3 linked regions of the Tamandua tetradactyla genome follow. The protein of the gene in region 3 interacts with the protein of the main gene of each other region in a biochemical or structural test. Links are inferred from orthologs where the notes say so. Each region holds a gene or a part of one and is shown on either strand. Other genes may lie near its edges. The genes, in order: CPLX1, STX3 and SNAP25.

Evidence for each region.
Region 1: the proteins of SNAP25 (region 3) and CPLX1 are reported together in a solved structure, tested with the Homo sapiens proteins (2 studies listed by BioGRID, with this or other methods). The link is inferred for Tamandua tetradactyla from reciprocal best matches to the Homo sapiens genes SNAP25 and CPLX1.
Region 2: the proteins of SNAP25 (region 3) and STX3 form a complex in vitro, tested with the Homo sapiens proteins (2 studies listed by BioGRID). The link is inferred for Tamandua tetradactyla from reciprocal best matches to the Homo sapiens genes SNAP25 and STX3.

What each region holds. Positions count from the first base shown.
Region 1 is NC_135345.1:415,244-425,315, reverse strand, and holds the start of CPLX1 (complexin-1), read left to right. Parts: upstream 1-6,410; 5' UTR 6,411-6,517; intron 6,518-8,091; 5' UTR 8,092-8,168; coding exon 8,169-8,199; intron 8,200-10,072. UniProt on the Homo sapiens protein: Positively regulates a late step in exocytosis of various cytoplasmic vesicles, such as synaptic vesicles and other secretory vesicles.
Region 2 is NC_135335.1:15,515,382-15,525,219, reverse strand, and holds the start of STX3 (syntaxin-3), read right to left. Parts: upstream 4,294-9,838; 5' UTR 4,083-4,293; coding exon 4,053-4,082; intron 1-4,052. UniProt on the Homo sapiens protein: Potentially involved in docking of synaptic vesicles at presynaptic active zones. Apical receptor involved in membrane fusion of apical vesicles.
Region 3 is NC_135327.1:50,602,047-50,611,304, forward strand, and holds the start of SNAP25 (synaptosomal-associated protein 25), read right to left. Parts: upstream 4,604-9,258; 5' UTR 4,475-4,603; intron 1-4,474.

The sequences.
Region 1 (10,072 bases), on a different chromosome or scaffold from region 3:
AGCATAACGCAGATACCCTATAGAGTGTGAGAAAGATCATAGGAGAAGCTGGAGTTATACAGAGAAAACAGGATTTAACAAAAGAGTATGACTGCTGAATCATTACACTGATATTTCTTTTAGTCTCCAGTGTCTTGGAGCAGCTAGAGATAAAAACCTAAAATTGTGGCATTGAAACCCACACTAGACTCTGAAATCTGTTCTACAGTTGTTCCAATGTACTTTGAAAATTATTGGGTTTTTTTGTATATATGTTATTTTTCACAAAAAAAAGAGAAAAAAGATAACGAAGAATGTAACAGAGGAGGTAGGATTTTTTTGGGTGTGCATGATCTGGGAGTCGGACCCGGGTCTCCCGCATGGAAGGCGAGCATTCTACCGCCGAGCCCCCCGTGCTCCCGGAAGACAGGATTTGACAGATGAACGTGACAACTGAGTCACCGTGATGTTCCCTTTCGTTTCCGATGTCTTGGAGCAGCTATAAGAAAAGATGAAAAACTGTGGAACTGTAGCCCATACCAAACTTTGAAATCTGTTGTATAACTACTTGTTAAAATGTACTTGTTAATGTATTGCTTTTTTGCATATATGCTATTTTTCACAATTAAAAAGAAAAACCAGTCATCGGCCATCAGACCACACAGCCTGCGTCAAGAGGGCCAAGTCCTTTGAGTTCACCCAGCTCCAGCAGCTGCCCCAGGCCTGCGGCAGCCCCCATCACTGCCTGCCAGGGGGCTGGAGTCTGAGGGCTGGGGCTGGAGTCTGGGGGCTGGGGCTGGAGTCTGGGGGCTGGGGCTGGGGCCTGGGGGCTGGGGCTGAGGCTGGGGCGGGGGCTGGGGCTAGAGTCTGGGGGCTGGGGCTGGAGTCTGGGGGCTGGGGCTGGAGTCTGGGGGCTGGGGCTGGGGCCTGGGGGCTGGGGCTGAGGCTGGGGTGGGGGCTGGAGTCTGGGGGCTGGGGCTGGGGGCTGGGGCTGGAGTCTGGGGGCTGGGGCTGGAGTCTGGGGGCTGGGGCTGGGGCCTGGGGGCTGGGGCTGGGGGCTGGGGCTGGAGTCTGGGGGCTGGGGCTAGAGTCTGGGGGCTGGGGCTGGAGTCTGGGGGCTGGGGCTGGGGCTGGGGTGGGGGCTGAGGCTGGGGTGGGGGCTGGGGCTGGAGTCTGGGGGCTGGGGCTGGGGGCTGGGGCTGGGGCGGGGACTGGGGCTGGGGCCTGGGGGCTGGGGCTGAGGCTGGGGCGGGGGCTGGGGCTGGAGTCTGGGGGCTGGGGCTGGGGGCTGGGGGCTGGGGCTGGAGTCTGGGGGCTGGGGGCTGGGGCTAGAGTCTGGGGGCTGGGACGGGTGCTGGGGCTAGGGCGGGGGCTGGGGCTACTACAGGGAGGGCAAAACTCACTATTTGCCACGACTTAAAGCCAGGTCAGCGTTCTCCAGAGTAACAGAACCAACAGGAGATATCTGTAAATATTATGAGATTTTATAAGTGCCCTACGCAACCGTGGGGATGCACAAATCCAAATTCCTTAGGGCAGGCTGCAAGCTGGCAGCTCTGAAGACAGTTTTGATGAATTCCCAGGAGAGGCTGCTGGCTGAGGTAGAGGTGCAAATTCTCTCTTCTGACTTAAGTCCTCTGCTCTCCTCCACATGCCCTCTACTGGTTGGGCGAAGTGGGTCTCATTGCTGAGGGCACCCACCTTAGCCAACTGCAGATGTCATTGGCCATGGAGCACCCAATTTACCGATGGTTTAAGTCCACGAAATGCCCTCAGAACGGGACAGCTGGGTGCCATGACCCGGCCGCGCTGACCCGTGGACCTGCCCTCACAGCAGCCTCTTCCTCCAGCGCTTCCCTGGGGGGCCTCGGGTGCTCCTGCCAGGTCGACAGTGGTTTCAGCTGAGGGACTGATACCTGGAGCTTCGTATTCTGCCGTCTTCCTGCAGTCCTACTTCCTTTTCTTTGGATATACTTATTTGCTTGTAAGATGGCAGGATTTAATTTTTTTTTTTTTGTATGCTGTATGGCGGGGCCACATTTCATTCTTTTTCCATAAGTATCCGATTATTGGCACACCATTTGTTGAATTTTTGTTTGGTTGATTTTTTGTTTGTTTTGCTTATTTGTGTTTTGGGAAGTGCCTGGGCCGGGGATCGATCGTGTCAGGAGGCGGCAGAAGAGGCTGAGTGCACAGCTGCTGCGAAGCCGCTCCTTGGCGGGTCCCCTCCCCATGCTTGCACCCCAATGGGGGTGGGCTCCGCTTCCTGGGGGGCACAGTCCTGCACTGCACCGAACTGCTGCTGGCCCCGTGCACGCTTCACTCAGCCATCTGCCCCGTCCCCCTGCACCCCTCATCCTTGGCCATCCAAGAACATGCTGCGGGGACCTAATCCCGCCACTGTGACCCTTCACCCCGACCCAGTCCGCAGTCACTCTGGCCACCACGCCGAGAGCAGACGGAGGTCCGGACCCGAGGATCCTGGGGGCCCCAGCCTGGCTGGGCTATGGCCCCTTTCCCGATACCCCACGGCTTCCCAACGGTGCCCCACGTGTCCTGAGGACAAACCAGCACCTCCTCCCACTCTCTCTATCCGGGACCCCTGCCCCTCTGCCAGGGACCCCTCCCCATAACATCCATCTCCCCAGTCTGCAGCTGTGCTTCTTGGGCCGGGGGGAATCTCAGTGGTCCATGGCTTCTGCGCTTGCGTGTGGGAGAGCCGTCCCCGCCCCCCCAGCCAGCACCCCTGGTGCACTGTCCCTGCCAGGAGCCGCCAGGCCCGGCTGCAGGACACCAGGGGCCACTCTGGACCTCACAGCTGGAGGGCCCTGGCCTCGGGGCAGGAGACCAGGAGCTGAGCCCTGGCGACCTAAGGAGCCCTGGGGACGCGTCGGGGGCATGGGGGACAGCAGGCAGCTGCTTCCCACCCCAGGTATCCAGGTCCTCGGGCCGCTCAGCGAGTCCTGAGACACGCCGCCAGGCCTGGCATGAGGGCATGTGCATTGCCTGGACACGTCACGCTGTGCATGCGCTCACCTTCTGGGGATGAGGGCCCTGTGGTGGGCGCGGCCACCGGCAGACGTGTTTGCTCCAGCGTGGAAGGGGCAGTCCTGCCTGGCTTCCTCTAGGGGAAAGTTTCCCCAGCGTGAGACCAGGCCAGAGAGGGTGCAGCTGGGGGGGGTGGGGCAGCTAGGAGTCAGGGGCGGCCCTGACCGCTGGCCCCCAGGCACGGACGCTGCCCAGATGCCAGAGATGCCCCCAGGAGTCCCTCAGGCCTGCAGCTGAAGCACGGCCTGCATAGGGCTGGCTCGGTACCCCCAAGTCCTGATGCCTCCGGGACAGCCTCCCACTACCCACCCGCCCTCCCTCCATCCTGCTCCGGCCGCCTCCACCCGTCCAGGGGCGTGCAGGCTGTCCCAGTGTGTCCCCATGCCTGCCCCAGCCCCCAGATCCCTGTAGCTCCCTCCCCAGGACCCCCGCCCCCTCCTCACCGGGTGGAGGCACAGAACCCCGCCCTCAGTCCCTGCAACCCCTGCTGTTTTTGCCTCCGGAGCGCAGGGGGAGCCTCACGGCTGTCCCCCACCTCGAGCAGCTCTGAAGGGCCGCACCCCAACTGCAGGCTCTGAGGTTAGAAAAGGCTGGGGGTGGAGGGCACCTGAGGGTACTGTGGGGTCAGGGCAAGTGGGCCCGGGGGACGTGGGGCCACAGTGGGCTGGGGGGTCCTCAGAGAGTCGGGGTGACAAGTGGGACCCCCGACCCTGGACCTGGAGGGGTGCAGGCAGGAGCAGGGCCTGGGCACCATGTCCATGGGGCGTCCCGTGGGGGAGGAGGAGGGGCAGGCGGTCACTGGTTTGCAGGGTCTGGGGTTGCTATGAGGTGGGCCACCTCCAGGAGCACCCCTTTGGGGAGATGAGGGGCCCCAGAGCCCAGGCATGGGCTCAGGGGCACAGGGGAGGCCGGGGCTGGTTCCCTCAGATCCACGGTGCGGGGCGGCAGAGCCTGGCAGGGACCCACCGGGGCCACGGGGCCAGTGGGCCGCACTCTGCTGCTGCCCGAGGTGTGGTCCTTGGCGGGTGGGGATTTGGGCCTTGCCATGCGCTGAGTCACCCCAAAAAGCAACAGTCTCAGCATCTACTGAGAAGTTCGGGGGCGTCTGCGTGCACCCTGGTCCCTGACAGGGCACGAGGACCCGGTTCTGCCCACCCTCCAGCTCTCCTGGCTCTGGGGACAGACCCCGTGGCCTGAGAGAGTGTGCTGGCAGCCTCTACTTGGTGGGGAGCAGAGGGGGGATGCCTGCAGCTGGAAGCCAGGCTTGGTCAGGGCCAGCGATGCAGCATGGGGTCACGGCCACCTGGCCCCTTGGGCGTGTGGACGCGGCAGGGCCTGGGGCCTCTGGGAGCAGGCAGGGGTCCCAGAGGAGCTGCCCTGCAGCCCTGCCCCACTCACCACAGGGACGCACTCCCAGGCATGACGGGTCCAGGTCTGTCCCCTCGCCCATGGGCACCGTCCACCCCCAGCAGGAGGGCAGATCCATCCCCACGGATGAGAGGTGCTGAGCAGCAGTCCCCTCCTGCCGTGGGGGTGCCCCTGTGTGGGCTGTAGTGGGGACTTGGGGGGTGGGGCTTCAAAGCTGGCCCCCTGAGCCCCTGGAGCAGCTGTGCCCAAGGTGATGCCGAGTGAGGGTCTCCCAGCCGTGCCTGGCAGACCCCAACCCCCATCGTGGCCTTGCTGACCCCCAGTTGTCTCCCTCCCAGCCCCAGCACCCCCACAGGAGCCCAGCCGCTCTGCACCCTCCACTCTCCTGAGGCTGCCCCCTGCCCTGCTCTCTTCCGGACACTCCCCACTCCCCTGCCCACACCTCAGACTGCTGCCTCCTTGGCTGCCCCAGGCCTGGCTCTCACCTTGTCTGGCTCCCCGGGGAGCGTCAGTGCCCTGGCTGAGGCCCAGCGCTCTCAGGGCCTGGAATGCTGTCAGTGCTGGAGAAGCCCTGGGGGTGGACGGCTGTGGAGAGGATGATGACAGAGAGACAGACACAGAGGTTGACAGGGAGCAGGGCAGGGGGCCTGGGGTCCGACCCTGGTGACGGGTGCCATTGGCGGGAGGAGGGGGCAGCACTCAGTCCAGCCCAGCCTGTGGGTTTCAGGGAGACCCCAGAGCCCTGTCCCTGGGGCCCACCCAGCCCAGGGGCAGCTGAGGCTGTGGGGCGTTGACCTTGAAACATTCACGATTTCCCAGAGTAGGGCCATCCTTTCTCTGCAGACGGTCCCCTGCCTGCCATAGCTGACCCCAGGCTTGGGGATGTCCGGGTGGGAGTGGAGGTAGGTGTGGGGTGGGTTCTGCTGCCCAGGACCCCTGGGGCACCCTGATGGATGGGGCTGAGGGGAGGGGCATCTAGGAGAGTGAGGGGTGTTCTTCCCAGGCAGGGCGAGGGGCTGCAGCTGCAGGGTCCATGACTCAGCCGGAAAGGGCCACTGACCGCTTTGAGCCGTGGCCGCTGGAGGCCACCCCCAGAGGCTCCCGGCCGCGCGGAAGCTGGAGCAGTGCGCGGGGCGGGCACGTCTGGCTGCACAGGAGGCGGGAGAGGCCGCCCCCCTCCCCGCAGTGCAGAGGCAATCCTGGGACTTCGCGAAGGGGGCGGCCGCCGCGGAGGTGCGGGTCAGCAGTGCGGCCCCCTCTGCGGAGCGGACCCCGGCCTGGCCCGGAAGGGGCTCGGGTCCCGCACTGAGCGCCCGGGTCCGCAGTGACCTTCACACGTCCCCGCCCGCGTTGGGGCCGCCAGCCCTGCGCATCCCGGCCCCGGCCGCTGCTCCGCCCCCCACACCCCCGGCGCGCGCGGGAGCTGTGGGGTCTCCCGCGGGCTTTCTCGGGGGTCTCTCGGCCTCTGTCCCGCTAAAATGAAACTCGCGTGCTTTCTGCGACCCTGTTCCACTGAGAAACAGACCGGGGCAACTCCGCAGCGCCTCTCCCCGCAAGAGGGTGCGGGCGGGTTGGCGAGTCTGGGCTTCCCTCCCCCAGGCCGCAGTGCGAGGAGGGCCGGGGTCGCGGCGGAGCCGGGGACAGGGGACACCACGGTCACCGCCCGCGCCGGGAAAAGCCGTCCCGGCGGGCCGGGGTCGAGGAAACTGGGGGGGTGGGCGCGCGCAGTGGCCCCCAGGGCCCTCCCGTTCTGGCCGGACACGCAAGGACTCTGGCACCACGCGCGCTCTCGAAGTAGCTCGCACGCGGGGAGGGCCGGGGTGGGGGCCGATCCGTGAGGAGGGTCTTGACTGGGGGCGGGGGGGCGGGTCCGAAAGCTCCGCCCCGGATCGCGCGACGGCTGCCGGCCGAGGGGAGGGACCGCGGCTCCCCCGCTCCCGCCCCGCCCCGCCGGAGCCCCTCCCCTCCTCGTCATGCTCGGCCGCGGGCGGGGGGCGGGGAGCGCCTCGGAGTGACGCGCCCTCCTCGCGGTGCCCTTCAACCGCAGCCGCAATTCCCGCGGCGCCACATGGACCCCGCCGGGCTGAGCGCGCTCCGCCGCTGACCGCCGGGCCCCGGGCAGGTAACCGCGTTCACCGTCCTGCCCGCACCCGTCCTCGGCTTCCCCCCCCCACCGACCTCTTCTCCACCCCGGCCCCGGCCGCGCTCCTGCCCCGGCTCCCCGCACCCGGCCCCGGCCGCGCTCCAGGCCCGGCTCCCCGCACCCGGGCTCCCCCACCCCGGCTCCCCGCACCCCGTCTCCCCCACCCGGGCTCCCCCACCCCGGCTCCCCGCACCCCGGCTTCCCGCACCTCGGAGGCTCGGACTCGGGCGCTGTCCGCCGCGGCGGTGCTGAAGCGGCCCGCCGGGTCCGAGCCCGCCCGCGCCCTCCTTCGGGTCTTTGTTGCTCCTTCTCTTCAGCTTCTTCTCTGCGATCCCCTCCCCTCTCTTGCTCTCTCTTTCTCTTTCTCTTTCCAGCCGCGCTCCCGCCTGAGGGTCGCTGGGCAGACCCCGGCAACTAACCCGCAGGGCCAAGAGATGCGGTGAAAGGAGCCCCGTCCCCGCGTGGGGCGGGAGTTGGGTCACTAGGGGTGTCTCGGGTTCCTGCGGGGAGGTCTGCAGCACCCCGGGGCTCTCCGCGGCTGGGCTCTGCGGCTCCCTCCTTCCCTCCCTGGGAGCCGGGGGAGAAGTTTGGGAGAGAACCTGCTTTGCGGCAAAGGCGCCCCTGGGCGTTGCGCCTTGCGGAGCCCCACTCGCTGGCCGGGCCTCGCTCCCGAAGCCCGCGCAGACGGGTCTCCGTCTGCAGAGGGAAAAGCAACAAAACAGTGGATCTCCAGGGGTCCGAAATTTCCTGCCCTGAGAGACCCCACAAGGCAGGGGGTGGGGGTGGGGGAGGCTGCAGCTGCTGAGATTTTACAGGAAGTGTAACCCCGCTGGAGTTCCAGCTGGCCTTGGCTCCAGGAGGGCACCCTGGCGCGCCCCACCCCATGCAGAGGTGGGGTTGGTCCTCCCCCTCCCGGTAGGGTGGGCCCCTGCGGCCCCTCCTCCTCTCCACACCAGTCCTGGCCACTGCGGTTGGAGTGGGCTCTGGAGTCTCTCCCGGGTTAGAGCCCTGTAGAAGCCACAGGGGCCCCCTAAGGAGCATCCCCCCTCAGCCCACCCACCCTAACCCTTCCACCCTCCCATGGTCGTACCCCAGCCCCCTTGGCCCCTCACCCGCCCAGACTACCGCAGTGGCGGGATACTGAGTCACCTTCACATGCCCCGGGGCTCCACCCTGGTTCTGCAGCTGGCACAGGTCCGAGCCACCCCCCCCCAAGCTGTGAGTGCTGCTCCTTCCCCTCAGCCGCCGCCCAGAGCTGACCCCAGAAGCCCCTGTGGCTGGAAGACCCCTTTGCAGGGCCAGCGGGGGACCTGGGACTGCCTGCCTTGGTCAGTGTGTAGGGACAGACCCACAGGAACTCTCGAGAGACTCACAGGGGCTCCCTCCAGTGCAGGGGACCCCCCCTACTTGGGGTGGGGAGCAAACAGTGTTCTCTCTGATCCCCAGACCCCCACTCAGGAGAAGCCTTTGCAGATAAGAGGAGGCACTGTGCATCCCACACAGAGACCCCTAAGCTTGGTGGGGTCACCTGTGACCACTGTGCTCTCCCACAGGCTCAAAGGTCCTCCGTCCACACTCGCATGTGAATTCTGACCCTTGGAGGAGCCGCTGAGGACTCAAAGCCATCGTCATGGAGTTCGTGATGAAGCAGGCCCTGGGAGGTAGGGAGTGGGGGCAGCAGGGGGCCAGGGGACCCCTTACACCCACGCTGCCCTCTGGACAGAGCCAAAGGGAGGGGCCCCAAGGCTGGCGCTGGCACCCGGTGCCTTCTGAGTGTCCTTTGCCACCATGGGGTGTGTGTGGGAGGACCAGGAGGCGGGGCAGGGGCACGCAGCAGGCAGCCCGTCCTGCTTGAGCAGCAACAACCTACTCGGTGTGCCAAGGGCTCCTCGGAGTGCGCTTGGGGCACCAGGGCCCAACCCTAACTGGTGGGCAGGGGCTCCACTCCTCCTGAACCATGCCATGGGTGGGAGGTGCTGCTGGCTGCTCGGCAAAGGTGGGGGCCCGAGCCCAGAGGCCACGGGAGAGGCCAGGGTGACCCCGGCCCCTGCTGAGGAGTTGTGCAGCTTCTTTCGGATGTTTGGGGGTAGGGGGCAGGTCCGAACATGCTGCCTCCTTTTCTGGAGGGGCTCCTGTCCCTGCTTGGTGCCAGGCTGTCATCATGGCCGGAGACCCTGTCTCAATACTGGAAGTACTGGGGGCATGGAGATGAGCAGGAACGCGGGTTGAGGGGCTGGCACAGATGTGCCCTGGCAGAGCAGTGCAGTCAGCCCAGGCCCCCCAGTGGCTTGAGGCTGTCCTGAGTGGGTGGAAGGTCCGTGCAGAACAACCCATTCTGCATTCTGCCCACCCCGCTGCTGCAGCCCGAGGTGCCCGGCCAGTGCTCGATGCTATGTTAAAGGTGCCTTCCTCGGTACAGCTCCCTCCTGAAACTGGTGTCATTCATGCTCTAGTGAGAATTAGGTGACATGGGCTCAAGGCCTCTCGTGGTGCTGCCTTCAGTGGGAGGGGTCTGGGATTCTTCGTCAGAGAAAGGGACCCGGCTGGGGCTGTCGTGCCAGAGCTGAGGGGAAGGGACAGGCTAGGTTGGCAGGAGCCACTGTTACCCCCGCCTCCCCCCTCCATCCTCCTATCACCCGGGGAAGGAGCTACCACCATGGATTTGTCTTGTGGAGAACGGCTCCATTTCCGCTCTCCCCAAATTGAATCACGAGATTCGAGGGCCCAGGGCCTTTCCAGAGGTCCCTGGTCAAGGGCAGACAGGGCCGGTCTAATTATAATGATTACGTCAGCGGGATGGCTGCAGGCCGGGTGGCACCCTGGCGCGGGGGTGGGGGGGGGTGGGGGGGACGAGTTCCACCTAGTGGTTCCCAGGCTGTTACAGATAATTAATTAGGTGGCTAATTCAGACCCTGAGGTGGGTTTTTAAGAAAACTGAAATATCTGATTTGGCTGTCTACATGGCTGAAATTAGCTGGGTAATTGCCAGTCTGGCTTCCCTCATTGTGCCGTGTCAGCCCAAAGTTTTTCCTGCAGCAGCGTCGGGGCGGCTGTGCTGAGCGCTGGGGGCCCCGCGTGGGGGCGGCCACCTGCCCCCTAGTGCGCAGCGGGAGGGGGGCCGCAAGCGTCAGAGCCCCGAGACCGAGGCTCTGGGAGAAGCAGTTCCAGAGCCCCACATGGGGGCGAGGGACCAGGCATCCGTCCAGAGGAGTCACGGGAAGCGGGGACACGGCTTCCAGGGCTCCAGGGCGTTGCAGAGGGAGGAGGGTGTGAGAGAGCTGGGGGTGCAAACGGTGTGGTAGAGACCGAGTGACAAAGAGAAAGTAGAGAAGGAAGTGACAGACAGCCAGAGACGGAGAAAGAGAGAATGAGAGGGAAAGAACGGACTGGGGGAAGAGTCGGGGCCAGCCCCGTGCACATCCCCAAAGGGAGGGAGGGGTCAGGGAGCACAGCGGGAGCCCCCCAGCCCTCTGCAGACAGCCCTGAGGTCAGGCCCGGGTGTGGCCAAGGGGGCAACCTCTGGGCACCTTTCTC
Region 2 (9,838 bases), on a different chromosome or scaffold from region 3:
AACCCCCGAGGAACCCTGATCCCACAGAGATCCTGGAACTTCAGATAGAGAAGCAGGATAAGGACAAGGTTTTTAGGAAGCAATGAGACACAGCATAGTACAGAGTGTCAAAGAGAAGACTGACTTTTAAGAGTCCCTGTTGGTTGACGCTGTTAGTGTATTCCTATTGCCACTGGCCTTCCAGGAACCAGAATGTCCAAGTCACTTCTAGTCTTCTGTAGATCGATCTCCAAGGAGGTTCATACATCGCCTGTTTCTCCATTATCTTTATGTACCTACCTTTGAGTTTGGGTCTTTTTTTATTTGTGAAATACATTTTTTTGTTTGTTTGTTTTTTATGGACTATTTAAGATCAGGACTTTGGATAATAATTCTGCCTAGCACAATGACTAGCAGGGTGGTAGATGCCATACTCACGCATCTCTGGTGAGGCCCCCTACACATTCTATATGTTCTTAGGTAACGTAGACTGACACATTCATTGATCAGAAGGTGGGTGAGAAATTCCAGGATCTCTGCCTTTTGTCTTAGGAAAGAATACATGCACCTGAAGAGATTAGACTTGAATCTTAACAGGGACTTGAAGAAGGACCGAACTGAAGCATCACTTCTGGCAGGTGCCTCCTCAATGCCCTGTCCTCATCTCCTCAAAGCCAGCAGACTGGATCTTTCCATGGTTGTCTCCATCATAAGGACCACAGCATACCTGTGGGTCTCTCTACTGACCATGACTGACCATGAACTCCTTGAGTAGTTTACCACTACATCCCAGCACCTATCGCAAAGCTTAGGGCACTATAGGTATTCAGTAAATCCTTGCTGACTAAAAAAAAGAGCCAGGCAAAAGGACGCTGGATCAGGAATTGTCTGGACTCAGTGGATCCAAAGTTCAGCCAGTGAGGAGAATTAACAAGAATCTCCTCCCGACATAGGCTGGTGCAAGCAATACACATTCCTGGTAAGTCTGTCCTACATCACTGAAGAAGACTGCTGAAGAAGTTTTCCAGGAGGACAGAGCACAAGATAAGTTAAGTAGGTCTTGTGACTATATCCTCAGCATGGACATGACTGCCAAGGGGCCAAGTTCAAAGTCACATTTACTGAACCTCCCTGTAGTGGTAAGCAATTGTCATGAATTTTCCACTACGACCCCTAGAATGGCCCTAAGAGTAAGGTATGATAGTCCATATTTTACAGCTGTACCTCCAAGCCCTAAATCCTACTGGATTCCAGAAACTTGTGTTTTTACAGTGCTTAGGACAGAGTCACAAACAATGATGCACTTTATAGAACCTCAGATTTTAAGAGTTGAGGGAAGTCTTAAATCTCCTAGTCCACCCCTCCACTAAAGAGATGCTCAAATTCCTTCAAAATCTAACAACCCAATAAGTTCCTTGTCTTTCTCCCATGCTGAGGGACTCACTACCTCTTCAGCAAACTGGCCCTACGGGAAGCAGCTCCAACTACTCAAAAGTGCTTTTTGACACTGAGTTCTGTTTTTAAACCATCAACCCCACATCTTCTCCTTGTATCTACACAAAGCAAAGTTAATCTCATGACAGCACATGGCAGCTCTCCAGTTATCTGAAAGCAGTTAGTACCTCCCTTCACTGAGGGTTTAGAAAGATCTCTGCAGAAACAGATTGCAAAGGCTGCTCAATGTGCAATTTATTTCATGGGGGTTAACAAATGCTTTTCGTTGATAACAGAAATCAGATAAGAAAGATGGCATATCTTATTGCAGTGAGGGTAATTTCTCTCCTATTGGGGAAAATGAGGGGGAGGGCGGGCAGGAGGAGGAGGTGAGAAGAGGGGGCCTAGACACCCAAATCGACACAAACCCGAACAATATTCTTCATAGGAAACACGAATATTGCTAGGCTTCTGAGATCAACAAATTCCTTACTTTACAAGGGAGGACTCAAGAAACAGGGAGGTAAAGTGATACAAAAGACCACAGCTATTAAGTGGGGGAGCCACAGTTAGAACCCCTTAAACCTGCAACCCCATCTTCTTTCACTCCACTGCCACGCCTCTTCCTGCTCCAAAACACTAGAGAAGCCACCATGATTTCAGAACAACCATCCCATGACAGCAGCACCCACTTACAATCTCACTTTCACAACATCCCCGAGGTAAAGTGAGGAAACAGGCCATTAGCTCTGTTTTTATAGAGGGTAAGATTAAGGTGCAGAGAGGGAAGGGGATTTGTTTGGGTTCCCCAGCAAATTGAATTTATACTTGGAACTCAAAGCTCAGTTAAGACTCTTTGCTATTTGTGGACAATGGGCTATTGAAAGGCATTGTAAAGTATCTTCCTCTGGAAAAGGATTTCCTCACTAAAGGAAAGGAGCCACCTCCGCCTGCTGTTCAGTTTCGTACTGTTTTTTGTTTGTTTGTTTTTGTTTTTTTTTTATTGCTGGGCATGCTGATACGGGAAGATCTTCAAAACCAATGCTCTTCTCTGCATCCTGTCTCCCCAGCCAGCAAGCTTCAGAAGAAAGAACTCTGTGGGGAGAGTTAGGAGATGGAGTTCCTCTCCTGGTTGTGTCCTGACCAGCTCTGTAGGCTAAGGCATGACCTACCCAGGCCAAGCTCCCATCTGCTCATCTATAAACAGGAACAATAAATTCTGCCCTGTCTACGTACCCAGGATGTTGTAAGGCTCAGAGGACAAAGAGCAAGTGTTGAGGCAGGGAGGCTCACTCCCATGAGAAGCAACTGTCCTTTTGCTTCTCTCACTTCCCCAGCTCCCTCACCTTCTCTACAGCCTCACCACCCAGGGAAGGAGAAACGGTCATGAAGGTCTTATCCAAGACAAAGGGGAAGAATGACACAATTGTAGAGCAACCCAATGGTTCCCAGCACTTGTATGAGATCTATAATTTTTCAAAGAGCTTTTAGTTATTAGCGTAATATTTACCACTTATTAAGTCCTATGTGCACTGTACAAAGGGCGCTCGCTGTAGGTGGTTTCACAAATACCCATTTTACAGATGAGGAAACTTCAGACTCAGAGGTTAAGGGAGAGCAAGTCAGCAATAGAGCTAGGATGAAACCCCAGTTCTCTCCAATATCCAGTCCAGTGTTTCCCAAACTTGAATGTGCTCATGCGTCACCCAAGGAGATTAGTGAATTATGTGGATTCTGGTTCTGAAGGTATAGGTTGGGCTTGAGCTTCTGCATTTCTAAGAAACTCCCAAGTAGATGGAGTTTGAGTTCCATTGCGGGAGAGCCTGTCAAGGCACTCGATAATTATTTACTGAATGAGTCAGGGAATATGTAATTCACAAACCCATGCATTATCACTTCTCTATATGGAGTCTCATCACATAGCTTCATTCTCATAACAAAACTCTAGGGTATGATAACCCCATTAGACAAGCAAGGAAACAGAGGCACAAAAAGGGGGTAAGCAGCCTAAGGTTTTACATCTTTCTTGCAACTGGGCTGGAGATGGTCTACTTTAAAATCCTTTGGTCTGACCACAGCTGCCCCAAGGGAGGCAGGTTAAATTGGTAATTAAAGATGGCCGGAGAATGAAGGAGGTCACCCACGAGTTCCGCACAGCTTCCCGCTCCCTAGGGGAAAGGGTACCGGGCTCGCGCCCGGCGGGAGGGAAACAAGAAGGAAGGTAGAAGGAGGCCGGCCCCAGGTGGGTGCAGTCAGCAGCGCGCAGGTGGAGAGGGGAACCCCTGACCTCAGCGGGATCCCCGCCAGGCCCAGCACCCCGCAGCAGGTCCCAGCTCGAGGCTGACAAGAGTCCTCCTTGGAGGGTGAGGGGGCCAGAGGTTTTCAGGAAAATCGCTGCCTAGAGTTGAATCACCCGGCACATGACCCGGGACGGGAGGGGAGGGAGCAAGAGAAAGGGAGGGGTGCGGAACGGGCGCGGGAGGCGGCCGGGGCTTGGCAAGGACAGGACTTGCACCGGCCCCCCCACTCCACCCTCGATTTGGGGAGCAAAGGGAAGCCTCCCTTCCCCCGCACACCCCGGGCAACCCCCACCCCAAGCAGCCCCCAGCCCGCGTGATTCCGGGTGCAGCGGGACTCACGGCCTTGAGCTGCTCCAGCCGGTCCTTCATCCTGGTGCCCCGGAGCCCGGCGACAGGTGAGCGCGTCCCAGGTGAGCGCGTCCCAGGTGAGCGCGTCCCAGGTAAGCGCGTCCCTGGTGAGCGGCCGGAAGTGGCGGCCGGGCCGGGCCGAGAGAGCCGGAGGCGGAGGCGGGTAGCTGCTGCCGCCGGCTAGGAGGAGCGTCCGAGGCCTCCGGTGGCTCCGCCGCGCCGCCCTCGGCCCCCGCCGGCGCCTGGAGCTCCAAATCCGGCTCCCCGGCGGGCTCCGGCGCGCGGCCCGGACCCGCCCACCCGCTCCGCCCCTTACCTGGGCCACGCCCCGCGCTCCTCCTTAAAGGGCCCGCGCCCCGCCGCCGCTGCCGGGACTGTCTCTGTCCTCCTGCCCTAACTCGGCCCTGCGAGGGACCGGGCACTGGGGATCCTGCCTCAGGGCCGAGGAAGAGTGACTGAGCCTGTCCCTTTCTCTGTGATAGCCATTAAGCGACTACTTGGGCCCTCGAAAGACTTATAGCTGTAGACAACGAACTCTGGTCCCTCTTGTGCTACGATAGGTGACAGGAAATTGTGTTGAGGCTGTCCAAGAGGCAGCAACCGATTCCGTGGGGAAGGGCATTCCAAGTAAAGGGAACAGCGATTGCGAAGGCACGGAAGCCGGAATGTGAGCAGTCCCGAGGGGCGGCTGGAGCTGAAAGAATGTGTTCCGAGAGGAGTTAGCTGGAAATGAGGGGGGATGAGTCCGGCTGGGGCAAGGAATTTGGATTTTATGCTGTTGATGATCGGGACCCTTCAGGGAAAATTTCAGCAGCTCAATGTTGAAGTGAGAACCTACCACTAGCAAGCGTATAACTTTGGGACAGCCTCTGTTTCTCTAGGGGATTCGTTTCCATATCTATAAATTCGTTTCCACTTCGTAGTTGCTGCGAAGCCTGTGTGAGAAAAAGTGAATGTGGTTGGCAAAGCTTAGAGGAGATGTTTGTTATTGGAAAGCTGAAGCCATTCTCATTTTCTATGTGATGTAGATTTGTTCAGATAGATTGTTCCTTCTGAAAAGGTGGGAGGTTCTTCGCACTGCCCCTCCCTCTTTTTCTTCTCCTACCCACTTCCTCCTTCCTTATTTGTCGTCTTGGAAACAAATGACATACCCTGCACAGCGCCGGAGTTCAATAAATGGGGCTGACGGACAGAATATTTAAGTCGTAAGTCTGGAAAAGGATCTGCTCTATGCATTCAGGTTTAAAGGTTTTATATATTATCGAAATTCTAACAGGAGTTTTCCCTCTTCTGCAATTTTAGTGCGTGCTCAGAATGACTTCATCTCCTTCCACAAAGACCAAAGACACAGCCTGCAGGGCAGATCGGATTGTCTGAAATGACCCTGGGGGTCTCAGCACTCCTCCCTGGTTCATCCTGTGCCTTTCCTTGTGTTTGCTAGTGGCTCTCCCGGAGATTTTAAGTGGAAGGTTTACCGCCCCCTGGTGGTCATAAAAGGAAAAGGTGAGTAAACCGGAAAGCGTATTCCACCTTCTCTTAAATTTTTGTTAATATATGATACTGAAATCAAGGGTGGCCTTTCAGCTTCTGCTTGACACATCTAGGGATGAACGTCAAGGCTATCTGTTAAAGATAAACAAAAAAATTGGTTTTGAAAGAGTAAACTCATAACTCTCATACAAATATGAAATGAATACACATCAAGGATTTTATTTAATTCATTAATTAATGAGAGAACCAGTGAGGTGTTAAAGACTTGTTAAGAGGAGCATCCAAAAAGTAAAACAAATGTAGGCAATCAAGAATGCCGAAATGAGTGTTAATAAAAGCAAAACTGGCTTCTGGGACTGGGGGGAAACCAATATCACCTCCAGCAGACAAAGTTCTTTTGCATGTCTATGAACGAAAATTATTTGCATTACTGTCAGTTTTCTACAACTAACAGAGTTTTAAAATAGCTAAAAACAAACCAACATGAAAGGCACAGATCATTATAAAATCAGATAACCCAGAAAGGTGCATTAGACAAGACTTACCTGGCATGACATAAAACACCTAGCAACCATTTTTTTCTCTTTTAATTTTTTCACACAGTCCCAAAATAGTACCTTCCATGACTGAACAGCTTCAACTGTTGTTGAAAAGCACTTTATTGGACAGTGCCACAATGGATCACCAGGTAGAGTTTTCACCTGCCATGCCAGAGACCAGAGTTCGATTCCCGGAGCCTGCCCATGTGAAAAAATAAATAAATAAAAAATAAGTGCTTTGTTACCCAGAACAGGATTTTCCTCTCTATAACTTCTGCCATTATTTCATACTCCTTTCCTTTGTCCAGAAATTTAAGAAACTTAACCTTTCCTCCACAAGATGGCCTTTGCATGAAAGGTGAGGGACTGTGGGGCAGTAGAACAATTGGTGAACACAAATCCATGAGTTTTGAAATCAGCTCTGCCACAAAATACCTGTCCCTTGACATCACACCATCCATTTCCTTATCTGTCAAATAAAGGACCTGACCAAAATTAGCAGTTCCCTAACTTATCAGAATCAAGAACATTGTATATTCTTTATTTTCATGCCTGGATCTCTTGTTTTGAAAGAGTCTGTGTCCCTAACAAAATATTTGTATTCGGTAATAAGGAATATGGTTTCCTATGAGAGGATGTTTCTATGACTTATTGGAATATGGTTTCCTATGAGAGGATGTTTCTATGACTTATTGGTGAGCTTATGCAGCCTTAACAGAAATGATTGTATGATTTCCCTTGAAATTATTTAACACTGAAAGAGCATAGAGACCCTTCTTAACTGCGATTGGAATTCAGAAACCCAGGAAGGGACTCACAAGCAGAATTCCCTTATTTTGTTCTTCTATTTGAAGGTCATTATTACAGACTTCAAGACTCCTTTTAAAACTTCAATTAAGCACAAACTATATTTCATTAATTTTATATTAATATTTGCTCATCCCTCATAGACAGAATTATGGATTTCACCTGCCAGTTGTGTACAAGAAACTGAAGAAATCCACATAACTCTCTGGACAAGGTACCTAGGGGAGGGCTGGGTCCATGGGATGGTGAGGAAAACTCTGATATGAAACCCCAGTGGACCATAGGGTCTCCAGGTAGGCAGACAGTAATTGAAGGCTCCAGGTTCAGTAGGAGTTTGAGCCCCTTCTTTCTGATGTATTTTCATTTTTATTCCCCCGATGGTACTTGGTTTCCCACCTGCTAGGTCCTAGCATAAAGGTTTCCCCATTAAACAATTCAAGGATTTGCATTTTTGTTATAAATAAATCAGCCAACACTTAAGTTTGCCTTGATATACAAACCAAAGAGAGAATCCTTGGTTTTATGGGGTCCACTTTCCTCTCTCTCTCTCTCCTGACTCTTAGGCTCTTTCTTTCCCACTGGAGAGGAGAGCTGAACCTTACCCCATTTTGCTGTAAGGCTCCTCAGCTTGCTGTAGAACAGGTGATACCACTTTCTGACTGGTCTGCCTTGAGACCCTGTCTCTAGGGTGTGGCATTCAGTAGCCATAGATAAAAGGAGTGGCAGAATTGAAGGAGAAGATCTTTTCTCTCTCTTTACAGCAACTCTTCCCCCATTGCAGGGAGAATGGAGAACTATAAGGATGAAGAATAATTTACTGATTTGTGGTTTTTTCCACTGTATAGTTTGTATTAGTTATCTATTGCTGCATAACAAATTGCCCTATAACTTAGCAACTCCAAACAACCAACTTTTATTATATCACAGTTTCTGTGACTCGGGAATCCAGATGGCACTTAGCTGGGAGCCTCTGCCTCAGGGTCTTTCACAAACCTACAATTAAGGTGTTGGCTGGGGCTGCTGTTTTATCTGAAGGCTCAACTGGGAAAGCATCTGCTTCTCAGCTCACTCAACTGGCTATTGGCAGGAGACTTCTCTTGGTTCCTTGCTATGTGGGCCTCTCCACAGGGAAGCTCACAATATAGCAGCTGGCTTCCATCAGAGCAAGTAGGTGAAAGAGAGAGAGAGAGAGACAGATGGAGGACAAAGTCTTCTTGTAATTTAATCTCAGACGTGATGCCTCATCACTTTTTTCATATTATATTCCTTAGAAGTATCACTAGGTCCAGTGGACACTCTAAAGGAGGGGATAACATAGGTCATGAAGACTGGGAACCAACTCAGTGGTGCCTGGCACACAGTTAAAATCCCTCACTATGACAGTGTTATTCAATTCTACCTACTTAGAGCTCTTTTCTTCCCTATATCTGACATGGACAACTTCTACCAATTCTCCAGGCCTCAGAAGAGATGCTTCCTTTGGGAAGCACCTCATCTTCCAGGATTTAGTTAAATGTCCCTCAAACATGCCCCTAGGAGAATCTGAACTTCTCCATCATAGCCCCTACCTGGCCACTTGTTTGCCTGTCCCACTATCTGTGAGCTCTGTGAGGGCATCAGCGTTGTCCACTTTGTCCACTGATATGGACCCAGACCTGACCACAGGGACATTCAGTAAATGGTTATCACATTTTATTAAAGGAATCCTCTGGTACTGTGGTTCCTATGCCCATTTGAAAGGATTATGTACCCTAGAAAAGCCATGTTTTAATTCTAATTTATCTTGTGGAAGCAACCATTTCTTTTAATCCCTATTCAATAATGCAGTTTGGGATCTTTTTATTAGATTATCTCCAAGGAGATGAGATGCACCTAATTGTGGGTATTAACCTTTGCTTAGAGGGAGCTGTGACTCCAAGCAGGTGGGTCTTAATTAGTTTGCTAGAATCCTTTAAAGAGGAAACATTTTGGGGAAAGTTTCAGAACCATAAGAACCAGGAGAGCCACAAGACACAGAGTCCATGCAACTAGAGGCCTTTGGAGAGGAAGAAAGAAAATACCCCCGGGAGAGCTTCATGAAACAAGAAGCCTGGAGAGAAAGCTAGCAGATGTCGCCATGTTTGCCATGTGCCTTTACAGTTGAGAGAGAAACCCTGAACTTCATCAGCCTTTCTTGAATAAAGGTAACTTATTTTGATGCCTTAATTTGGACATCATTATAGACTTGCTTTAATTGGGACATTTTCATGGTGTTAGAACTGTAAACTCTCAACTTAATAAATTCCCCCTTTTAAAAGCTGTTCCATTTCTGGTATATTGCGTTCTGGCAGCTAGCAAACTAGAATAGCTCCATTTACATTTTTCTTCTGATTATAACCCATCAATGCCTTCTCATTATGAGTAGGGAGACCATAGTCTTCTTAGAATGATGCCCAAGGCTTTCCCCAATCTGTCCACCTTCTCCCTTCCCAACCTCACTCCTGTGTCACTCCCTGTCACAACAGAGCCTCACCATCAGCCTCAACAAGTCTCACCTCTTCCCTGAACCTAGAGTGCCCTTTCATGATTTCCTATCTACCTCTGCCCTAACGTTTCACGTCTGGCAAATTTCCACTCCTCCTTCAAGATGAAGACCTCCCCAGTTCACCCAGCTAGCCTTCTCAGCCTCTGCCCCTTGGTACCTGTCCAGATCTCTTATTCAAGCACACTCTATGTTGTCTCGTACGTTGCTCTTTTCCATTGGTCTCCCTGGCTGATGAACTGCTTGAGAGCAATGACCAGGTATTATTTACCCTCGAATATCCAGGGCTGCCATGATGTACTTGCGTTGCAAATATTTGGAGAATAAATCAAAAAAGAATTGACTACAAACACACACATACATGCATACATATACACATACGGGGAGTCTTCCTCTCCTCTCCCTAAAAGGGAAAGAAG
Region 3 (9,258 bases):
CCCCATTCAGTAACCTCTAGCCTGACCTCCACCCAAAGTATCAAATGTCTCTACCTGGCTTGAAAATTTGTTAAAACATTATCACATACATGCCTCCCCTGACAGTGTTTTGGTGAAGAACAGATAGGGCTAGTCCCTCGACAGTTCCCAGTTATAAAGTTTATGTCTGCAACAGTCGTTTCTTCCTCCACATGATGCCATTGGCTATTTCTGCCAGCACTTGGAATTTTGAAGCTCCACTGTGACGGCTGAAACCACAAGATTAAAAAGGAAATGGGTTTAGTTCAGACCTCCGGCTGGCCCTGGAGTAAAGGTAATCAGCCAAAGTCAACGGGTTGGTAGAAAAGAAATATGATACACTGCCTACCTCACCTCTCCCCAATTTTCCTAGAGCAGCTCTGTCTTTCAATTTTAGTCACTTGGGGCTGATTCTATTCGTCACACTGCCTGAAACACACACAGGAAAACTGGCATCTTTTTTCATCAGTCCTGTCACCGTGTTTGACAATGCAGAATACTCAGAGAGCAGAAGCCTGCATCCTGCACGGTGCTTGCTATTCAAGTGTGATGTCTGGTGACTTCTTAACACCAGATTCCTAACCTGTTTTTCAGTCTCTCTGGCACATGCACATCTTGAATAATTTATTTTAGTCAACAAAGTCATAATTAACTTCTGGGCAGGGCTTATATGTCCATGTAGTTATGGGTGAAGAATGATCTTATATACATGAGGACTGATTATTATTTTTTTTTTAAATTAATCATCCCCTATGATACCAATTTGTTCTCCTCTGTTTCTGAAATAACACAAATCTGATCTACCCTGTCAATAGCAATTCCTGGATATCTAAAAAGACATGGTTACTTTGTAATATCAGCTTCTGCTCAGAAATCAACTTTAGTTTGAGGATAAAGTATCAAATCCTCCTCTTGGCATTCAAAACCTTCCATAGCAGGCTCTGACTCCAGTTCTAGTATATTCTCCCATACAAGATCTCTGCACCAACCAAATGGATGAGCATTTTCAGGGTTTGCTGACCACACCTTGGTCTTGCCAAACTTGAGATTCTGCTTATACTGCCACTTTTACTTAGCAGAACTTCCCCACCTCTCTCCAACCTCCACAAGCCAGTTCAAGTTCTTTTATTACATTCACTTGGCAATTAATTATGTATGTCATCATGATTTTCTTCTATTGTTATATTGGGTTTTTATTCATTTTTCAATTTTGTTATTTTTTTATTAAAATTACTAGATGTTAAACTTCTTGAGGCCAAAGACCATATAACCAGGAATGTTTATATCCCCAATGGGGTTCATTTATATGTCTGGTGCTCACTGATTAATCAATATCTTCCTATCAGATTGGTCCCTAGTGACAAGGGATGACATTGCAGAAACATATCCAATGCAGAGGATGAAACACTCAATTTTCTTACCTTTATAAAATTGTAAAGCAATTTCTTTAATGTGAGAAAACTAGTTTGTTCATATGCATTGTCTAGAAATCAGAGTTATCTATTTTTCAGCTCCATGTCTCCTTTCTCAATCTCTCAAATTACTTCTCTCTCTTCTGCTAATCCTTCACAACCTATACGTTTTGCTAAAGGCCAGATGCTACACAGAGAGGTGTCACCGACAGAAACATAGATCTTTCAGTTGATAAACACCACTCTGGGGTTAACATTTGGGGCTTAGGAATGTTTTTAGACAAGCTAATTAAGGGACAGCTTGTACTGGATGTGTGCATGGGTGATTGTGCGTGTTTAACAAAGTAAAAATAAAATTGTGAATTCCTGAGAGGTATCAGCATGGGGACGTTAGGTAGACTGGATATTATTTTGTAGTCTGAATCCTGTGGTGGATAATGCAGAAAATGCCAATAGAAGCAAATAAGCAGGTACCATCAGAGGGTATAGATGAATGTTCCTATCTGTTCCTGCCTCTTTTCACTGTTTTGCCCCCCAGACTTTTAAAATTTAAAATAGGAACTCCCTTGATTTTTTTTAAGTTTATCAACAATATAAATTTGAGTTCATGCTTCAGTTATGATTTTCTTTAATTTCTAAGGAAGCTATCCTAGAATTAACTCCATAATTGTGCACATCTCCTCTTCCCCCCAGCACTGTGCTTTTTGCCAGCTTCACTGCAGTCCTCCTCCACCTCCCTCTTCACCCCCATCTTCCACTTGCAAACAAACCCAGCAGTAATTACTAATATCTAAGCACGTAATTCCAGCAGCATTAGGCTTTTTATTTGATGTAACTACGCAGAAAGCTGTCTGGACATACAGCATGAAGTCAAAGCATTTTTTAATACTCCTGCCCATCTTTTCTCCCCTCTTCTCATCACTAAAAAACTGTTGTTTATTTCTTCTGCAGATTGCAGAGTTATGAACTTCTTTTACGCAGTAACACACTCAAATAAATTTCCACCCAAATAACTTTACATCCATGCATACAGGTCAACATATGCATATATGAAATATATAGTTATCCATATAAAGGAAAATCACTAGGAAATAAATAGCTGGGAGCAAAAATACCTTTTCCATGTAGATGGACATTTTAGCACCTCTAGTATACACGTGATTGGAATTATTACTGGCTAAAAACATTCCAAGATCTTAATTTGGGGCGTTTTAGAGGACCATAATGGCATTTTTTTAACGCGTCGCATATATTTTTACATATGAAACTGTTACTCTAATTTACTCAAAAAGCACAATTTTACTTGTCATTTTATGCAATCTTTATATATATCAAACAGAGAAAAAAATATTATTATGATGATTTTTGCTGGTTTAGAGGCTCCGAGCCTCAGAGTAGAAAATGGTTCAAGTACCTATCGTCGCCTTGGCAAAATCCCGCAGTGCTGCAATAGAAATTGCAGTAGAATTTTAGGCCAGAGTCCAGTTTTAGTCTAACATGGTTCTTTCACCTGCATTACCCTGAAGGGCACAATTGGATTCAACTGAGGAAGCCCAATCTTAATGTTGTCAAATCAGAAGCTTTCAGCCTGAGATAACCAATGTCCTTAGAAAATATTTACTTCCAATAACTCTAAAACCTTAACTAAAGGAGTTAAATCTATACACTCTACGACCTGTAAATATTTCTCAGAAACATAGTTTTGTGGCTGTGTGTTTGTGCTCATACATAATTACAAGAGTAGGGGGAGAAAGAGGAAGAGGGATTCATTCTTAAAGTTAATTATGCTTAGTTCAGCTATCCCCAATTTTTTGCTAAATAGAAATATATATGGAGAGATCACTCCTATAAATAGATAATGTTGACATCTTCATTTTTATCCCACTCATGCCCACCCAAGATCTGTAGGCAGTGCATTACGTGCTCTGTGTTAACATAAAAACAAACCAAATCTTGACATCCGGTAGAAAGGTAAACGCAGATTTAAGAAATGTGTTTATTTCCTACCTAAAATAAAGGGCAACAGAAGGTTTCCACAAAGTAGACTGTTATTTTTTTTAAAGCTAAGCAGGAGATCTGGAGAAAGCAGGCATTGCCTGCAAAGGAGTCCCTGCGGGCATGATTTATTTATTATTATTATTTTTTTTTTTACCTACTACGTCTGCTCTTAAATACTTCATTAGGGGTCTCTGTGAGACCAGGTTTCACAGCGGCAATCTGTCCTGCAGCCCTGGCACAGAACATCCTATCCAGGCCCCTCTGCCTCTGAAGCCGGGTCGTTGTCCGCGGTGCTGAAAGGTCACGGGCGCCGGCGCGGGCCTTTGTATCGCTGTCCAGGGTGCTGAGTGAGGGCCGTCGCAGTCCCCGAGGCCATCCCATCCCCGCCAGCTCTCCGCAGAGCCCTCCCACCCGGCACAAACCGCCCGCCTCCCGCCAGGCTGCAGTTGACGTGGGGCAGGAGGCATGAATCAAGTCTGTGGGGGCAAGGAGGCTGCTGTCGCTGCCTCAGCTCAGCTTGCCCCGGACGGGAACTCTCCCCCTTCCCCTCCTTTCGCCTCCCCAACGCCCACAACCTGCCTTTCCCTCAATTCTGCACTGGATAATAGCACGCTAAAGGCAAGTCATAATAACAGGGTTAGAAGAACAGATTTTTTTTTCTTTTCTTTTTGTCTACAGAAGCAACAACAACAACAACACAACATCAGCCTAAACACCTCTGAAAACTGCGTCGCAAAATGGAAGAGAGAAAGGGTCCCACCACAGTTTTAAAAGAGTAAGTTATTATTTGGATCGTATCCTTACGTTTCCCTCCCATCGCTCCATCCGCAGTAGCCCCATTCATCCCTTCCACAAGCAGCCCACCTCAAAAACACTTTATAAAGCCCCAGGCGGGAGTCCAGCCAGGCGCGCACACACGGAACACCGCGCCCCAGGCGCACAAATACTTGTACTGCCCAAGGCCACTAGGTCTGCCCAGCTGCGGTCCTCTTTGGGAATGCAACCTCTCAGAGTCAGCACCGGGGCCCGGGGAGGGGGCTTCTTACCTGGGCTTCCCGGGAGGGTAGTGTTCGCCGGATCCCAGCAGGTTGCGAGTGTGCAGGAGCCGCCGAGCAGGGAGGGAAGGCGAGACAGAGCCTGACCTCCCCGAGGTTTCGTCTTCAATGCAACGTGAGCTCTGCCCTCATCAAAGATGGCCGTCCCTCTTGACGTCAGCAGCTTTTAATAGCCGTCGCCTCCAGGGGCGGGAGGAAGTCTGCGGCGGGGAGGGCGGAGGGAGGGCGGAGGCTGCGGGTGGGACGCGAGCAGCCGGTAGGCGCCGAGCGCTTGACTCAGCTCCCGGTGAGCGTTACTGAAACCTTTGTATTTTAGTCCCGTACAAACTCTGAAACGGGGCTATCCTTATGGCTGCATTTTAATACACCGTCTCGGGAAAACACATTAATCTGACGACTGTTTTTCTAGTGTCATACACGTGTGTTTGTATATGTGTGCTAACATATGCATGTTGTGTGTACATGTTGCATCCTGTATGTATATTATGTCTATATATCCATGTGTGTGTGTGTGGGGGGCGGGGTGCATACTTTATTCTCCCCGCTGAGTTGAGTCATGGAAGGAGGAGGGGAAGACCGAGGAGGCGGAGAGGGAGGTGGTGGCGGCGGGGAGGGACGCTGGGGGAGCTCGATTTCAGCAGCGATTAGTTTTCCCCAAAGAAGAGGGTCCGAAGGGGCATCCCTGTCAACCCTCGCCAGCTCCATATATGGCCAGGCTACGTGGGTTACTATTTTTATGAGTGATTTGTTCATTTTATCAAAGCAGCACCCAGGGCTTGGAGTTCGTATTAATGTGGTCAGCTGGGAAGACAGACTCGCGCACGTTATTTGAACGGACGTCAGAGCAATTATCTCCCAGAGATATCAAAGGAGCTGGGGGAGAGGGGAGCGAAGGGTCGTTAACCCAACCAGCGTGGGTTTGCAAGGGCTCGAGGCTCCGAGTAGCGTTGTTTACCGAGGGCAAAACAGATGACGCTGCTTTCGCTTGAATTTGCAATCGGGTCCTGAGGTTGTGCGTTGGGTGTCTTCAGAACAGCCCTCGGAGGCACGTATAGGACCGTCCAGACTTCCGGGGGAAGGTGGAGGACTGCAGGATCCAGGGTGGGTTGGACGCGATGAAGTTCTAGTGATTCTCTCGATGCGCGAACCCTGGGTCAGAGTAGAGGCTGATTTGGGGGACTTATGATGTTCGCAACAGGACGTGGGCAAGAAACGATAGTTTTCCTGGTCATCTGAGAGATTAAAATAATAAGCATAAAGCAATAATACTTCCTCCCTTGTGCACTAGGCGACCAGGGAGAGCTGGGGTGGGGGTGGGGCGACAGGGGGTGGGTATGCAAATGGCTCCGCGGTGGCAGCCTCTCCGATGATTCACAGGTGTTGGGGAGGTTGTTGTGGGGCTCTCCGCGGGGAGGGCGAGCTGGGGAGCGCGTGGGAGGTGGGGGACTTCGGCTGAGGAACTGTTTGTACTTTTCCAGGAAGGATGCGATTAGAAGTCGTGCCTTGCAATGTTAAAACTTGATGGCCTCTTTTAGACGATGGAAAATCCTTGTCTGCTTTAGAAGAAGCCATTCAGAGCTAGGTCCCGAAAAATGACACACAATAAAACGTCCCCCACCCCAGCATACACCTACACCTACACACACACACATTCCAAGCATAAACAATTATAAGCCTTTTAATTGCACGTGTTGGAGAGAGAGACACACAAGGAGAGAGAGAGACATGCAGACCCTGCGAGAGGAGTAAAAAGAGGCGTAAAGGGACTGGTCAGAGGAAGCAAAGCTGTAAGAATTTTGAAAGAAAGCCGTTAATTTAAATGAGTAGATGTCATTGTTTCCTAAAGATTCTCTGACCAAAAAGGTATTTCAAAATATTAATCTTTGCAATAATAATTAACCAATGCTGTTTGGATTTTTATTAAAGTTGGAGTCCTAAAACAAGGCACGTTACTGAAATTTGTTTACTTAAATATTTATTAAACATTTAAGATTCTTATACAATAAAGAAGAGGAAAATCAAAATCCGTATAGTCCTTAGATAGTTAATTGCCAATAAAACTCTCCTACTTATGATTCTTAATTTCGTGGTACAGCAAGTAGGAATGGGATGGGAGAAGTGGTGACAAATGCAATGGCACTGCAAAATCTTTTATAGTTAGGATTTTTTCCAAAATGTGACACCCACAAAAAAGGCAGCATGTAGACGTTGGGGGTGGGGTAGGCAGGAGGCAGATCTGCAGTGGGGAGAAACAGAATATGTGTAGGGCTCTCAGATCAGAAGTCATTCAGGCAGCAAGTTTTGTGAAGGAATGGGGCAGGGGTGGGGGTGGGGGACAGGGTATTTTCCGGATTAAAAAAAAAAAGTAAAAAAGTAACTATGTCAGTGAGGGGAGCTTATCCTGCAGGCAGAAGCTATATGGAAGGCAACTGGGGAAGGACTGGCCATGTGTTCTGAGTTTTCAACTGCTGCTGCCCCAAGCTGACGTCTTAAAAAATTACAGATAAGATGAGAGCCAGACAGATTCAGAGCATCACAGAAAGGCACAGGCCCTACAGGATTATTTTGCAGTGGTGACAGCATTTTCCATTCCCCTCTGCTGGTGTTGAAAAGGATGCCATTTGAGAGGTTCTTCCTCTCGCTCTGGAAAAGACAGCAGAGAAACATAAATACTGGACATTTAGGTCCATTTGGAGCTAAAAATTCTACTAAGGATGAATGGATAGCCTAAAATGCATTTTGAATATGATAATGAGGTTTTCCCTTTAGGGTTTTCTCGTTGCTTGATTAAAAAAAAAACAAAGAAAAAGGAAAAAGAAAAAAAAAACATTTACAGTCATTTTTGACAGTAGGACAACCAGCAGATTCATTTTGCTCAGAGTCTATAAAAGCCTGAATAACAGAGAAGGAAGGTGATAGAAAATTTGTTCCAAAATGATTCAGCTGCCTGTGAGTTATTTCTATAACTCAAATGTAAAGTAGCTAATGCTTAGGAACTCATTCCATGAGGAAAGAGAAAATTACCTGCTCTGTAGGATGGATATTTACACTATGCTAATTCAGTCTCTGAAGGTGTTTTCTGGTACACCAGGCCCCGAGGTGTTCTGGTTTGTAATGGCTTCCGATCCAGAGTATTTAGCTTGTATTCTCTTTACTGAGGTGCAAAATTTATAGTTGACTCAAAAGTTACAACCTGGGAAGGATAATACAATATAAGATTTTATGAAATACCATATAAACCCAAAGTCAACTTGGGAGTAGTTTAGAACTAACCCAACTCAAAACCAATCCCCCCAAATTCCTCCTTGGGGTACACCTGGCACTCTGAAAAATGTATCAGATCACCCTGAGGGCATGAGACGAGGGCTTGAGAATACACAGCTTGACAGATCAACTGTTTTGATTCCTTGGTTTGCTTTTCACGTGATGTGTTTGTCACTTTCTCTTTACATATTCTTGTAGCTGTTACCCCAGTTCCTGCCCCACTCACAGCTCATGACCTAATAGTAACTTGGGAAAGCTAAAATGCCCCAGGTCTAAACTCTCCAGGCTGTGGCTGTTTCCTGGAGCCTCTGAGATAGGGACGTGTCTTGTGAGAGGTAGAAGGAGAGCCAGGGATATTGCTTTCTGTTTCTGGCTTGCCATGTTGAGGTACAATAAGTCCGCATGCTTAGAATTTTAAATACCATTTTGTCCTTTACTAAGAACAGTGTTGTGGAAAGGAGGGGAGTGGTCTCCAGTCAGAGGCCTGTTCCATAACACATCCCTCCCCCTAATTCTGAGACGCGGTCACGTGGGGAGACGTGTAACAATCACAGGCAGAAGGGAATGGGGAAATGGTAGTCAAAATTAGCAAACTTCAAAAAGGCTATTTGAAAGGGATTACAGTACTCTTTCAGCAAACCTTTTAAGCATCTTAATAATTTCCATAACTTCACTATACCTCTGTTTTATTATAGGCAAAATCAGGATAATAATTATACCCAACTTACAGGGAAAGTGCTTAGCACTTAAAATTATGTCTGGCACTTGTTGAGTACTATGAAATATTGGTTAAATAAAGTAAATCTATCAATTTGATAAGGTTTTAAATTTCTCTAATTGTTGCTATACTATGGAGGGACTGAGTTCATTAGTTGCTAACTAGATGCATATCATTTAATCCCTCTGGGTTTTCCTTTCTTCTGTATTAATTCATTCATTTGCTCAATACTGAAATACTTACCATGTGCTTGGATCTGGAATATATTGTGGTCCAAGTAAAACAGAGGAGGGAATTGAGGTTTAGAGAGGTCAAATAACTGACCAAGATCACAGCTAATCATGTTACAAGTAAGATGTGAACCCCAGGCTCATAATCACCGTGCTTTATCACAGGCTCTTCTGGCCGCATCAGACTTTAGTCCATCCCTCTAGAGCAAACCTCTCTGCCTCATCATACTGTGGTTCATGCATATCTTTTTCAATAGCAGCTTCAGGGTCCCCTTTGCTAATGGGATGAGTCCATGCAGCACTGACCACTGGTTTGGTTGAGATGAGTTCCAAGGATATGTTTAGGCAGGTAGGGTGGTATCTGCAGCAAACAAACAATGTATTCAAAGGCAGACAGTGCAGAAGGACAGTAAAGGGGTGAATTCAAAGGTCAGTGTCTAAGAAGCAGCTTAAATAAGAATTGGGTCAGAAGATGGACTCAAAATATACTTGAGAGGGTCAACCAGAAGTCATAAGAGAACACCAAAATGGACGACTAGCTATGAGAGGATGATATAAGATCT